Struthio camelus: one gene and its partner. The protein of the gene in region 1 binds, or shares a complex with, the protein of each later gene. Links are inferred from orthologs where the notes say so. Each region holds a gene or a part of one and is shown on either strand. Other genes may lie near its edges.

What was found.
Region 2: YEATS2 (region 1) and KAT14 share a complex: the UniProt entries of both Homo sapiens proteins name them as parts of the ADA2A-containing complex. The link is inferred for Struthio camelus from reciprocal best matches to the Homo sapiens genes YEATS2 and KAT14.

Annotation. Positions count from the first base shown.
Region 1 is NC_090950.1:7,909,983-7,917,200, forward strand, and holds the start of YEATS2 (YEATS domain-containing protein 2), read left to right. Parts: upstream 1-4,215; 5' UTR 4,216-4,332; intron 4,333-4,509; exon of another isoform or gene 4,510-4,667; intron 4,668-5,717; 5' UTR 5,718-5,730; coding exon 5,731-5,830; intron 5,831-7,218. UniProt on the Homo sapiens protein: Chromatin reader component of the ATAC complex, a complex with histone acetyltransferase activity on histones H3 and H4. YEATS2 specifically recognizes and binds histone H3 crotonylated at 'Lys-27' (H3K27cr).
Region 2 is NC_090944.1:146,949,630-146,956,487, reverse strand, and holds the start of KAT14 (cysteine-rich protein 2-binding protein), read left to right. Parts: upstream 1-3,856; 5' UTR 3,857-5,254; intron 5,255-5,358; 5' UTR 5,359-5,772; coding exon 5,773-6,028; intron 6,029-6,858. UniProt on the Homo sapiens protein: Component of the ATAC complex, a complex with histone acetyltransferase activity on histones H3 and H4. May function as a scaffold for the ATAC complex to promote ATAC complex stability. Has also weak histone acetyltransferase activity toward histone H4.

The DNA.
Region 1 (7,218 bases):
GCGCTTTTGGGTTTGTGCATTTTGCTAGGCTTGCTGAAATACAGGACTGTCTGGTTGCTCCTACAGTTTGCAGTTCCAGTCACAGGGAACTCAATAGGTAAAAAATATTTCACGTTTGTCAACTCGCTACTTTCAGTCTGAGAGATAAAGAAGCATATGTTGTCAAAGTTTTCTAGTGGCAATGCTCAGGAAAAGCAAACGCTCAGTTTTCGTAATTGCCCGACTGGACGAATGTATCTCGTTTTCTCTGCCACTGAAGATGGCAAAAGCCCATTCCAGAGGATTAAGAACCTCACTAGACTTGATCACTCTGAAGCAAGATGTTTTCCTCTGAATGTGGACTCTCACGCGCACAGGACAGTGTGCATTAAATGGTGTGCCGGACTAAAAAATCTGAGTAATACACACTGAAAAGGAAGTCCACAAGGTGATGAGGTTGATGAGATTTTTAAGCAGAAGTTTGTTATCTGGTTGAGGACTAGACAGTAAAGTTTTTTTTTTTTTTTAAATGTGTCCAGCAAACAAGCTTCCTTAATGTTTTATTTCAGGTGGCATTGATAAAAATCCGTCTCAGTGTCAGTGCTGTGAGCATTACCACAAAACAGTAGGCAGCCTCTTACCCACCCCACACCAGCTGTGTGAATCAGAACATAAGTTCTCGGCACACTGGCCTCGCATCAGCTGTCTTTCATAACATGCATTTATGTATAAAATTAGTGACTCAAAGTATATATCCTTGATAGTGTTATTATCCAAAAGCTCTATTTACATAACCTTTTTTCTACTGTAGTGCTCCAATCTACACTCATGTTTGCGCATCTGTGCATGTGAATAACTTTGTGATCATTTTATGCTAATTCTATTATAAATGATACACATAAAAGTCCCTATGTACAGCATGTTGATAATGTAATTACAACTTACTTTGTATTATTAGTTCCAAAGAAAATAATGTGTTAATGTTGAAAATACCTGTGCCTTGAATTCACTTATAATTTTTATCTATTGTGAAAATGAGCTTGGATTGCTCCTTCTGGTTTATCTTTATTAGGATCAGTCTTACTGTCTAGACTGCTGATGTCCTTTTAAGAGAAGTAAATCTTGCCATTCGTTAACTAAAAGAACAGTTAAACCTTTTATTGAGAATATGCCTACAATGCTTCGATTTTTTACAATGTTATGGCAGATTTACTGTGGAGAAATCAGTATTTTTTTTTCCTGTTTTCTATTTCCTGCACTCCCTCAGTGACAAAGGAGTTTGTCTTTGACTTCCTGTCCTTCATACGTAGTTTCTTGTTTTAGTCAATAGCCTCTACCACATTTCAGAACGCTCTGACTTGCCTGTCCTCAGTAGAGTTTAAAATAAATAAGATGAAGCAATAATATGGTGTAGCACGGCAATATGCAAAATCAAGAGACTTGAATAAAATGTATTATTATTAATTTCATTTGTGTAAATGCTGGACCTGTGGGGCCATTCTCCTTTCGGTGCACCTGTAGCAATTTGGAGTCAGATTAATAGGAACTACTTGGCCATGGAAAGAGAGGTTACCTACTTAACTATTATTCATATGATACTTTCCTTTCACCTGGAATATGTTTTGATTTTTCTTTTTGCTAAGGAAAACAGCGGTTCATTGTATTCCTTGCCAGTTCCTTTATTTACTGAAACGTAAAAGGTTTGGTTCGAACAAGAGCTTAATCTTGTCTTCAAGAGCAATCTGGTACAGCACAAACGAAGCTGAACAAAAAACTGCGGACCACTTAGTGTGTGCCAGACTCAATGCAATGCTATCTGACACGTAACATTAAGGTCTTCAGATTGTGCTGACAGTAGAAAAGTGATTTTGTAATGTAGCACAAAAGCAATAACATTTACTTGTTATATTTAAATATATTTCTTGCATAATTCTTTGAAAGATTTTTTTTTTTAAATCCAATGTACCTAATAAACATTTGCCTTTTGAATAGTTTACTGTGTTTTATTTAGGTCATGAGAAATGCCACGGAGGGGTTTGGTCGTACAAGGAGGAAGCTCTTTCCTGTTCTTCCTAGGTCTTTTATTTGCTGGATTCTGCACCTTTGCAGTGTCTGTATCAACCCATCATTCTTCTGTCTTCCAGTCTGGATGCTTTCATAGCTCATCTTTATGCCTTTGTCATGTAACTTACTATTGACATGAATACAGGTAGTGCAGGCAAGCTAGAGGCTGTGCGAAAAAGGAAAGAGCAAGGAAACTGGGGGAAATGACAAGATGGGATGTAAAATAGTGCTTAGTTCTGGGAATCAGGATCTGGAAAGGATACAAACGGACTCAGAGGGCAAAAGCAATAAGCGAAATCAGGATAAGGGAATGGATAATGGTAGGAAGGTGACCAGTAACACTATAGGTTGGAAAGAGACATGCAGGAAGTTTACTCTTCCCAGATTAGCTCTCCCTTGACCATCTCGAGGTGCCACTTGTAGAACGGCCGATACAGGGCTCGGACAGGGAGAGGGTGGTTCTCTTGCACTTGAACTGACATGACTGTATTTCATTCAATACCACAGTTTTACAGATCACATTCATCTTTCAGTTGTTTTCTAGTGGAATACTAGCTTGTACTCCTGGCATCCTCTTCCTCATAGGACAGTGTGGATTTCAAACTCAGAGCTTGTCCTTCACGTAACCCTAGATGTGTGTCTTGCCTTCTTCCTAAAACCCTTTGTTTTTGGCATTGTGGCAGAGTCAAACAGAGCTTCCTACTGTGATTTTTTCCCTGTGTTCCACTGAGGTCTAACTCGTGAGTCCTTTCCTTGTTTGATGTATTTTGGATTGTGGGTCCTGTATCTTTCAACATAAAACCAAAGCCCTGGGGCCTTGATATTCGATATACTCTGTATCAGAGAGATGTAGAGGAAAAAAAAAATACAAATAACTTTTTAGAAATGGTGGCAGGCACATTTTAATACAACTTAATCGACATGAAGATACTGCTTCATCTGTCTACTGGCAGAGAGGGGCCTGCTAAAGCCTTGAACTGCAGAAAATTGAAGTACTTCCACTAGCTTCAAGAGTTTTGAACCTAGCCCCACAGAGATGAGCGAATCTAAATGTACCATTGAGGCATGTAAAGATTTTTCAGATACCTTATAACATGAAACATAAAACTAACGCCAACAGTTGGACTGCAGTTTGGCAATGTAACTGGATCATTGACCGCAATCAAGGGGCTGTTACTGTGGTGCCAAGAATAAGTTATGACCGAGTGCAATGTTACTGTTCCTGAAAGAAGTAATCTCACATGAAAGGAAATTCAGACTACGATGCAATGGAAATACACTGAGGAATGGGATCCTGTCTGAATATACTTAAAATGTTAAAAATGGACCTATTTCTGTTCCTCTCTCCATTAAGCAGAGAAAAGGAAGAAAATAAATAAAAAACTAAATTATATTCCTGATGAAAATGATACAAATTTGGGTACAAGAACTATCTCAATGGATTGTATTTGTTGCCTGACAGAAAGCCTTTCTAGCAGTGGTCCTGAAACCAGAAAAGGGGGATTTTAAGGTTGGCTCCCTGCACATTGAGCACGCATACACTTGTTTACAATTTGCGGCCTCATAAGAAGTTAGAAAATACATGTAAGAGTTGGCCGTTATCTCATGCTCTTTAGCAGCATGAGTTTAGCATGAGACTACGGCGGCGGAGCGAAGGGCTGCTTGTTGTTCAGGACATCTGACAGCGGTGTTAGGATCTGGTTAAGAAAAAAAAAAAGTGACATTAAATCCATTAGTTTAGTGGGGCAACTGTAGCTGTGATTTGACACGCTGTGAAACACCATGAGCTGTAAAGGTAGGACGTTTGGGAGCGGGGGCGCAGCGAGCCCCTCGGGGGCCGCCGGCAGGCAGCCGCCTCGGGGCAAAGCCGTGCAGCGCCGCTGCGCCTCTCTTGCGCGCTTTTACTACCCGGGGCTCTCAGTCACGCCGGGCCTCACTTGGCGTGCTTTTATTATTATTATTTTCTTTTCTTCTCCTAACCACGCGCCTTTCAGTTCCTACTTTTGTGTCAAAATCTGCCTTCCCCCAGTTGTACTGCTTACTGGCCAATATAGCGGGGCCGCGCCAGTACCTCCGGCGCCTCAGGGGGAGCAGGACGGCGGAGCCTTTCCGCCCCCTTTCTCTGCGCCTCGCCCCGCCCCGCCGCCGCTCTCCGCCTGCGCGGCTCCCGCCCCTCGCGCTGACGGGCAGCGAGGGCCGGGGCCTGCGCTCATGGCGGCGGCTGGCGGCGGGCGCTGAGCGGCGCGCGGCGGGGAGCGGGGCGGCGGCGGCCGCCTCAGCGGAGCGCGGGTGAGCGGCGGCGGCGGCGGCGGGAGGGCGGGGGGGAGGGGGGGAGGAGCGCGCGGGGCGGCGGCGGCGGCGGCGCTTTGTGCGCGCGCGCGTGCGCGCCGGGCGGGTTGGGCGTGGGGGGAGGGGAACAATGCCGGCCGCGCACGTGGGCAGCGGGCGCGCGCGCGTACTGCCGCGCCCCGGCCAACGGCCCTAACGGCCGCCCCGGAGCCGCGGCCGCGCCGAGCGCCCGGCCTGAAGGGAGGGTGCCCTGGGGGGAGCCGCGAGCGCCTGCGGAGGCTCGGGCCGGGGTTGGCCGTGCGCCCCGGCGGCGGGAGCAGCGAGCCGCCGCGGAGGTGAGGAGGGCGTCGTGGGCCGCGGCCTCCCGAGTCCGCCCTGCGGCGGCGGCCGCCGTCGGCTGCGCCCGCGCCCCGGCCCGGCGCGGGGCGGTTGGCGTGCGAGGCGTCTTGCGTGGGCCACCCCTTGCCGAGGCGTGTCGGTGGCCGGCGGGACGCGTGAGCGCGGGTGGGCGACCCCCCTCCTCCCCCCTCCTCCCCCCCCCCCCCGGGCCGGGGCAGCTGTCGGGGAGAGGGGGCTCGGCCGGGCGTGGGGACGTTGTCCCGCGCGGTTCCCCCGCGGTCTAGCTGGGAGGTCACGCTTGTACGTGACCCGTGTGCTGGCGCAGCTTCGCCGGCGAGCCCCCCGCCTGTCCCGGGTAGCGTGGTGTGTTTGTGTCGCTGTGTGTGCGCGTCCCGGCTCGTTCGGGCCGTCAGCGCGCTGACTCTGACCAAGCGCTGCGTGCTGGAGGTGATGGTGCCGCCCCTGAGAAAACACCCCCGATGTACTGAAATTGGTGAGCCAAGCAAGTCTGGACATCCTCTTAAGATCCGCGTGCAGGCATCGCTGAGGATGGGGAACAGGCTGTTGTGACTTTTGCGTCAATGGACGGTGGCTAAATTGGAAGAGAAGTTGCTAATACCAACACCTGCCTTGGCGGTCTTCTCCGGTCGTACGTGCTAACCTTGCATAAAGAAACGTGCCTGCCAGGAGAGGGGCGAGGTGTGTTTGCAGAGCGGCTGTTCAGCGACAGTGAAGGTCACTTCATTTTTCTGCCTTGCCGCTCCATCTTCGCAATACCTTTCCCCACACAGGTTGTGGTGGGCTATGGAGACCAAAGATCGGGAGGCAGTGTAAACTTGTGGACTGTACATAGCGGGACTAGCTCTGAGCTTTGCAGCTGTGGATGGATCTCTAGCAGCTGGGGAAGGAGGTGTTCCAGGAGGTGTTCCCGAGGTCCAAGGCAGGCCTTCTCGCTGTGACTCCTGTCATTTCAGGAGAAAGTTTGAACTCTGTCCGGAGAGTTGCTGTGGGTAATGTCACTGCTTTTATTTTTCCTCTCGGTGCAGTAGTTGAGAGAACATGTCTGGGATCAAGAGAGTGATCGCGGAGAAGGACCCCGACTATGAGGAGATCGCAGTCACACATCCCAATAAGCGTCACAAAGCAGCTGAACAGTCAGGTAGGAACCGTCTGAGTTGCGATACTGTCATGTGTGGAATTAGAAGTGCCACGGATTCAGCAGATTCTGTGCATTTTTCTACAAACAGTTCAGAAAAGGACTTGGACGGGAGCTAAAAGGACAAAGGGCAAGGAAGCTAGCGATATCTCTGTATAGCAAAATGACGGTGTGATTGTCATAGGTGGAGCCATTCATACCTGCTAGCTGAACTGAGCTTCAGTAATGACAGCAGTAAAGCATGTGGTCGCAGACTTCAGCGCATGATAGCAACTAGAGCACAAGCCATCTGGGAGTGCCTGACCGTGTACTTTGGTTCTTGTTGCTTGCTGAAGTATTTGCAGCTGTATCTTCCCAGCTGTTTTCTGTGCTGGGTTATGCTCCTACCTCTGCATTTATTTTGCAGTTGAAACCTGCCCGTAGAAAGACTGGCAGTTAGCTTACGTTTGAGGGATGCAGCAGCTGGTAGCAGTACAGTTTGGGAGAAGAGAACCCCCTGACCCTGGGGCTAGGCTGGCTCTAGGAAAAAGCAAGACAAACAATTGCAAGAGAAAGCAGATAAAATGAAACGAAGTAATGTAGAAGGGATAAGTTAGCGAGAAGGATGGGGCTTTTAAGGGTGCAAAGGAGGAGGAGTAGCTACCTGACTGAAGGAAAGATGGACAAAGAAGCTGTGGCTGGATGAGCAGGTATGCATTTGCCACTGTCAGAAGTGCTTTGGGAACCATCCTGTTGGCTGTGTGCCTAGGTCAGGTTCGAATCTTCTCTGGGCAAGTGAGACTAGAGTCTCTTGCCCCTGGGACAGGGAGTGGGCTGAGTGATATTTGGCATAGCACAGCCAGTGGGAGAGAATCGTGAGGGGAGGAGCTGAAGAAAAGGGAGATGAGAAAAATGGAGCCTGCTGCAGGATCTGAGCAAGATCCAGGAATAGAGCAGGGTGTTGGAGCTGCCAGTTGGAGAGGGACAGATAATGGTTTCACAGGTGGTGTTCTGGAGGACAGTGTACAGCTGGGCGAGTCTGAGGAGACTGAACTTCAGTTTGAATATGCTGCTGGGCAGGTCTTGTCTGCCAGGTTAAGGTCAATTAAGGGCGCTGACGGCAGAGCCCTGTTGGAGCTAGCTATGGCAAAACAGCGTTAGCGCTCCCAGCTGTCTGCCCTGCCTGTCTGCCAGAAGTTGCCACCCTCTGTGGTGTTGAATCCAAGTGACTGCAGACAGATTTTTATCCTGCTTCTGAAGCAACTCCTCAGAAGATCTTAATAGGTAGCAGGCCAAGTCTCAGGGCTCTTGGAGAGCTGTCCTTCCCAAAGTGAACTTCTTGCTGAGGTGATTCTTCCATATTGAGTTCTTCTTCTCGTGGAAGATCTCCAGTTTTCAATACAAGAATTCCG
Region 2 (6,858 bases), on another chromosome or scaffold:
GGCAGAGAGTGCACCCTCAGCAAGTTTGCTGATAACACTAAACTGGGGGGAGTGGCTGATACCCCAGAGGGCTGTGCTGCCATTCCGAGGGACCTGGACAGGCTGGAGAGTTGGGCGGAAAGGAACCTCCTGGAGTTCAACAAAGGCAAATGCGGAGTCCTGCACCTAGGGAGGAATAATCCTATGCACACCAGTACAGGCTGGGGGTTGAGCTGCTGGAAAGCAGCTCTGCAGAGAAGGAGCTGGGCGTGCTGGTGGACAAGTTGACCATGAGCCAGCAATGTGGCCAAGAAGGCCAATGGTCTCCTGGGGTGCATGAGGCAGAGTGTTGCCAGCAGGCGGAGGGAGGTGATCCTGCCCCTCTCCTCAGCCCTGGGGAGGCCACATCTAGAGTACTGTGTCCAGATCTGGGCTCCCCAGTACAAGAGAGACATGGTACTCCTGGAGAGAGTCCAGTGGAGGGCTACGAAGATGATGAGGGGACTGGAGCATCTCTCCTAGGAAGAAAGGCTGCGAGAGCTGGGCCTGTCCAGGCTGGAGAAGAGAAGATTGAGAGGGGATCTCATCAACGTGTACAAGTATGTGAAGGGAGGGTGTCAAGAGGATGGGGCCAGACTCGTCAATGGTGCCCAGGGTGAGGGGCAACAAATAGGACAGGTACAAACAATCACAGGAAGTTCCATCTGAACATGAGGACAAACTTCTTCACTGTGAGGGTGACAGAGCTTTGGAACAGGTTGCCCAGAGAGGTGGTGGAGTCTCCTTTGCTGGAGATATTCAAAGCCTGCCTGGACGCGATCCTGGGCAACGTGCTCTAGAGGACTCTGCTTGAGCAGGGGGGTGGGACAAGATGATCTCCAGAGGTCCCTTCCAGCCTCAACCTTTCTGTGATTCTGTGATTGGTGGATGGGATGCCTTCAGCCACCAAGGGTCTAGCAGGAACATGTACTAAACGTTCCTGAGTGTCAGCTGAAATAAATGGGAGCTGTACTTTGAACACATGGTGTGCTGCAGGATACTGAATGCTCTGAAAAAAGTCTCTCCTTAATGTTTTAGTGAGACATCTAAAATTAAGGGGTGTTTTTGACCTTAATCTTTCCTTGATTAGTATCACTCCTTCGTCTGATAGAGGGGTTCTGAAAACAAATTCATATTTACAAACTGTGGAGGTAACGGACATAAAAGAGTCCATAAGGAAATGAGTGACACCACCATCAGAGCGTGATCTGTGTATCTCAAAGTAAATAATGCCTCAGGCAACAGGAGGAACAAGGGATGTGAAACTAAATACTGAATACCTGGTCAGGATCCATTCCCATTACTGAACGAGATGGCAGTCCCATGGCAAGAGCAGCATGGGAGAGACTGGACTGTAACTCCTGGGCAAAAAAAAGGGGGTGAGTTAAGGGCACAGAAGCAACTCCAGAGTGTGGGATTCTGAGCTTTTAACTTGGAAGCTTGGCGTTCTTCCAGTGTGTCCCTGAAAAAAGCAGTGGTCGATCAGCAAATTAATTCGTATGGTTAGCGCCCCCAGCTTGGTTTATGCATCTCTTTTACTATCTGGAAGAAAATAGGGACTTGCTGCCCTATGCCTGATGTTCCCATTGCTCTGCTGTAGTTGCTCCAGCAGGCTTCCGAGCAGAACAAAAAGCTTCCCTTCCCAGCCTAGCTTCTCAGAGCTTTGAAAAGCCTCGTTCAGCAGTGGTTCTCCTAATCCGCTGACGTCTGCTTCGTTTGCACAACAGCGTTGAGTAGCTTTGGTTGCTGGCGACCTGAGATCGCTTCTGCAACCTTCTGCCTGAGGAAATCCTGCATTTTCCAAGTGCCGGATAACTTATGGACAAGGATGGACAGCCTTCACCCCTGTGGCTGGGAGCGGTCACTGCTGCGGAGGGTATCAGCGTCGCTGCTGTTAAGCCGCTGACAGACAGTTTTGCTGCGTTTCCTAGAGATGGAGGGGTCAAAGGAACGCCGATCAGCGGAAAAACCTTTTTGGAGTTTCTGGGTGACAGAGCCGGTGTCCTCATTTTTTTTAAACCAAAATTTAAATACAATTTTTTTTTTTTCAGATCACTGAGCATTTTGTCCCTTTCCGCACAAAATGCAACCTGTTATTTTCTATCCGTCCTCACACAGCCTCTGCGAACTCTGGGAAGGGGAAAGGGGTTGCAGGGCTACCAGAAAGTTACCATATCATGGGCAAGGGAGGATGCGGGGAACTATTTTCCCCCCAGAGAAGCCGCTCTACTCTCAAAATATATGTCCGATGTATGACTTCAGAGGTGGCTGACCTGTCCTTAGGGGGATGGGTTAGCAAAACAGTTCTCTAGAATTGAGGAGGATTCCCCGAAAAGCTGAGTTTGACACAGATTACATGTTTCTGTTACAGGAGTACTAGGATTACTCAAGATGCTGCTGCTGCAGCAAAGCCCAATCACTTGATTCTTCGTTCTGAGCTCGCAGTTAAACTTTAAATCACTATTCAGAATCAATAGGGCTCAAAGCTTACCTTAGTATTAATAGGGCCCAAAGCTTATCTTTTATAAATGAAATCTGAAATTTTATTTTTATGATCTTGATGTTCAAGTTGGGAAATAATGGCTTCAGGTTTGAGGGAGCCAATTATTTAGATAAAGAAATGAAAATGAGTAACATGGACATTCTTCAGACCTGGTGTAGGGATTATTTCAGTTTTATCTTTACGTAGATTAACAGACTTTTGGCTTTTATAATTTGATATTCCAGGAACTGATTGATTTCAGCTTGCATAAATTTATCTAAATTGATTCAGAAAGCAAACAGGCCTAACCTTAGAGTATAGAAAAAGGAGAGAAGAACTTTTTTGTAGCTCTTTGTCATGTATGAGGTAACAATTATAAAGGTGTCTTTTGCAAACTGTGCGTTTTAGGAGGAAACGTTTTCAGCATCTGAAGGATTGCAGAACAGCTGTATTTTATGAAGGAAAAAGGTTAACCTGCCTGATGCCCTGATTGTTCAGTTACACAGTATCTCTTCACATCTTTGTTGTTATTAGATAGCACTAATGAAGTATTTAGTTTATGAGCTTTGTCTTTAGCAATTAGTAATTTGTAACCTGAATTCAGTGCTTTGAAGGTGATGGGAAGGAACTGCTTTTATTAGATTAATTTCCAGAGAGAGTTTTGATTATTGGCTGACAAACGTGTCTGTATATTTTTAACAAGATAAAGCATTTCTTAAACAAAGCATTCCTATTTTAATCTTAACAGAAGAAAAACACACACTTTTTGGTATTCTAGATGAAAAAGAAAACCCCGTGAGAATTTGTCAAATAATAATTACAAGTATGTTCTAAAACAGCTTCAGGGTCAGTTTTCAAACAAATTATTTGCAGGTGCATTTTGGCACCGGTAAAACAGATCAAATAAATTATTCCTCTTTTTCGTCATTAGGCTAAATACTTTATTCCTAACTCCAGTATCCAATGACTAGCCTTAGTACGTGTGAATCTTTCTCGTTGCTGACTGCAAGCTGGACGTTTTAGATTTATGCGTGTCAGCTGGTAAATCAGGCAGGGGTATCGCACTTCTTAGATTCCCGTCTCTAGTTGTGCTAAAACGTGACTGCGCTCATGTGGCTTGATTTAGATGTGAGCCACTACTGGCTTATTACAATCGTTTGGAGTGTTGCTCTCCTCAGTTACAATATCTCTCGCCTCGTGCACAATATCTTCTGATAAGCATATGACTGCTGCTTTGAAATTGAGTATAACGTCCACAGATTTAAAAGCTACCGCCTGCCCGAGGAGTTCGAGACAGACAGACAGGCAAGGGAGTCGGCATGTTGCTATGTTTGCCTTTGCACTGGCACTTACCTTGCGGTGAGCCAGTTCAGGGAGGTCAGTCAGCAGAGTATGACTTCTTTATGGGGGGGGAGGGGGAGAAGAAAAAAGTGAGCTATTTTCTACTGTTTTATCTGTCTGGGCTGGCTCACCCCTGGGATCAGGTGAGCACTGTTGTGAGTGCAGAGGAGAGCACGGGAATGGAAAAACTAGAGCAAGGCTGGCTTAGGTTGGTTTAAATGGCTGGGGAACACCATCCCAGCTGCCTGTAGCCAGTTTTACTTCTTTTTTCTTCTCCCCACTGTCACACAGATGCTCATATAGATAATAATAAGGAACTGGTAGAAGTTCCAGTTAAGCAGTCTGGTCCGCTTTCAGGACCAGGCTCTGAATTTGCAGGGCAGACTCTGGAAAGGACTGGTCGCGAAGTCTTAAAAGCACTGCAGGAGTGGGTCTGTGTGTGTGCCTGGAGCCCACCAAAGCCGGTTCTTCTCTATACTTCTTTCAGAGTTCAGTCTATGCAGTGTTCGCTGCAGGATCCCTGCCTAAGTGTTGTCACATGCACAAAGTGCTCGAGCAGATGAAATGCTCAGCTTGGGTCACCTTTTCTTCCAGAACTAGTTTCAGTCTTGCCATCTTCTCCATCCTGTGTCTAACCTCATCATCCTCTCCATTCACGTACTGCTGCTGTCTTACCTGTCCCCATCTGGAGCACAGCAACTGGTTCCCGTCTGCTGCCTCCCATTTCTTTTCCCCATCCTGATACATGTCACCACTTTTGGTTCCACCACTTGTTTTTCATTCCCCGTTTCCCTTGGTAAGAAATTAAGGTTAAGCATTTCTCTTGCTTACCGGAGTAAAGAAAACTTTCCAGGAGCAGAGAGAGACGAAAGGGTAAGGAGGAAACAAAGGCTAGCTGGAATTTTCTTAGGGCTTTTCAAACCCTTTTGGGGGCTTACCGGTCAGTTTGAGAACTGCTGATTGATTCTGCACATTTCATTCTTAACGAACATTTTAGGTAAAGGTTATTTTTTTTAATTAAGTGCCTTGCTTGATTTCAAGAGCTTGGCATAAGCACGCTAGGGACTTTTATCAGACTTCTAGCAACATCTTACCAGGTTTTTTTTAGGAGTAAGATATAAGCAGAAAGAAGCAGAATAAGGCAAAATTGTTTCTGATTTGCCACAAAATTCTCTTCAAGCGGAAGAGAAGTTTTGGAGAGATTCGTTCAATTTCCATAAAGATTTAGGGCAGAGTTACTGATACATAGCACTTCTTTGCTCAGTAGCTTTACCACGTCGTAAGTGCACCCATCTGAAGTGAGTACAAACCAAGTATTAGCTTATCAGCCTCAGATGTCAGCTACTGTAGTTTTAGATTCAGACAACAAAGTGGCTGTGGCTGAAGGCAGCGGAGAACTGAAGATTTGCAAAGGTAATATGATTAACAGCGCTGCCAGAGGGGTTGGAGCCCAGGTGGAGATTAGTCGTATTCAATATCAAGCAGGCTGTGATGAACCCTGTCTCTTGTATTTTCAGAGGCTGCACAGAGGAGTTCTCAGAGACCTTGAGCGACTGAGTCAGAAAGAGCAAAATATTCGCCTTTTAGAAGAGCAGATCGCTTTGACGAAGCAGCTCAAAGAAGAAAGAGACAAGACGCTAATGGAGAAAGGGTCCCAGCAGTCCTAGGCACGGTCCTGACCCCTGAGAGTGTGGACTGAAGGCAGTTGGCCAGGTTTGCTATCTGACAGCCCACAAGTAAGCGGAGGTAATCTGTGAAAGACCATTTCTTTCACATACATTCTAATACAATTCAAAAAACTATAGCGCCTCTATCTTCAGCACTTTCACGAGCGGAGACTTGACTGGCACATGCAGTGGGGATGGTCTTGTGAATGTGAGGAGGAAGGGCTCCTTGTAAAGTAAGCACCATCTTCCTTTATGTGATAAAGGATGGCTAATAATGTTCACATGAGCGGGCTGCTGAGTCGCCATGATGATGAAGCGACAAGGACGTCGACCTCCGAAGGCCTGGAGGAGGGTGAGGTGGAAGGGGAGACGCTCCTGATTGTCGAGTCTGAGGATCAAGCCTCCGTGGATTTATCGCATGATCAGAGCGGAGACTCTCTGAACAGTGACGAAGGTGATGCATCTTGGATGGAGGAGATGTCCTATTATTGTGAGAAGTGTCAGAAGTGGATACCAGCAAGTAAGGATGCTGTTTTTATTATTTCTTGTAGCGCTTCCCATTTCCAGTTTGCTTTATTACGGTTGCTATGTTCCCCCAAAATACAGTGTGTGGGTCTCGCCTGGTCTCATGAGGCATGAGGCAAGGTGGTCATGCTGTCCATTTTAAAGAATAGCTCTATTTAGCCTTATTCTGTCATTGGGAAGAAATGCTGTTTTGGCATCACATGGAGCCCAGTAGCCGAAAGCCATTTGTTGTGTTTGTGTGCATCAGGCGCTTACACCCATGAACCCCATATGGGTATCCAAAACTGGCATTCCCCAGTAAAAAAAATGGGACTGTTGGATCTGCTAAACAGAAAGCAAGGGCAGGACTTCGGAAATGCGAGCACGCATTCAAGTTCTGTTGTCAGTGTGTTAGGGGACTTTAGCCAAGTGACTTTGCATGTCGCTCAGCAGAGAGGTAAAGGCAGTGACTGTTTCTATAAAGGTCTATGGGTGAAAAGGGTTCTGTAGGTGGTGGTCTTTTTGTCTTTCTTTTTCTTTATTTTTCCTGGCTAGTTTGTCACATCTGTGGAACATAAGACTAACTCTCAACCTTAATGATTTCCTAAGAACGTGAATTTAATGTAGGTTTCACAGAGGCGTGTTAGGCCTGTAGCAGCTAGCTTTCGGAGGCGTTTGAAGCAGGTTGGATCACTTGATCTCTCCGCTCCTGCTATTTGACATAAGATACATGCTGTTAGCTGAGAAATAGAAGAGATGTTACTTTCCAAAATCTAAATGATTGAATCTACTATTATATCTAAAACCTACGTATTGCTACCTGCTGTTTGTTGGTGGCTAGAAGTA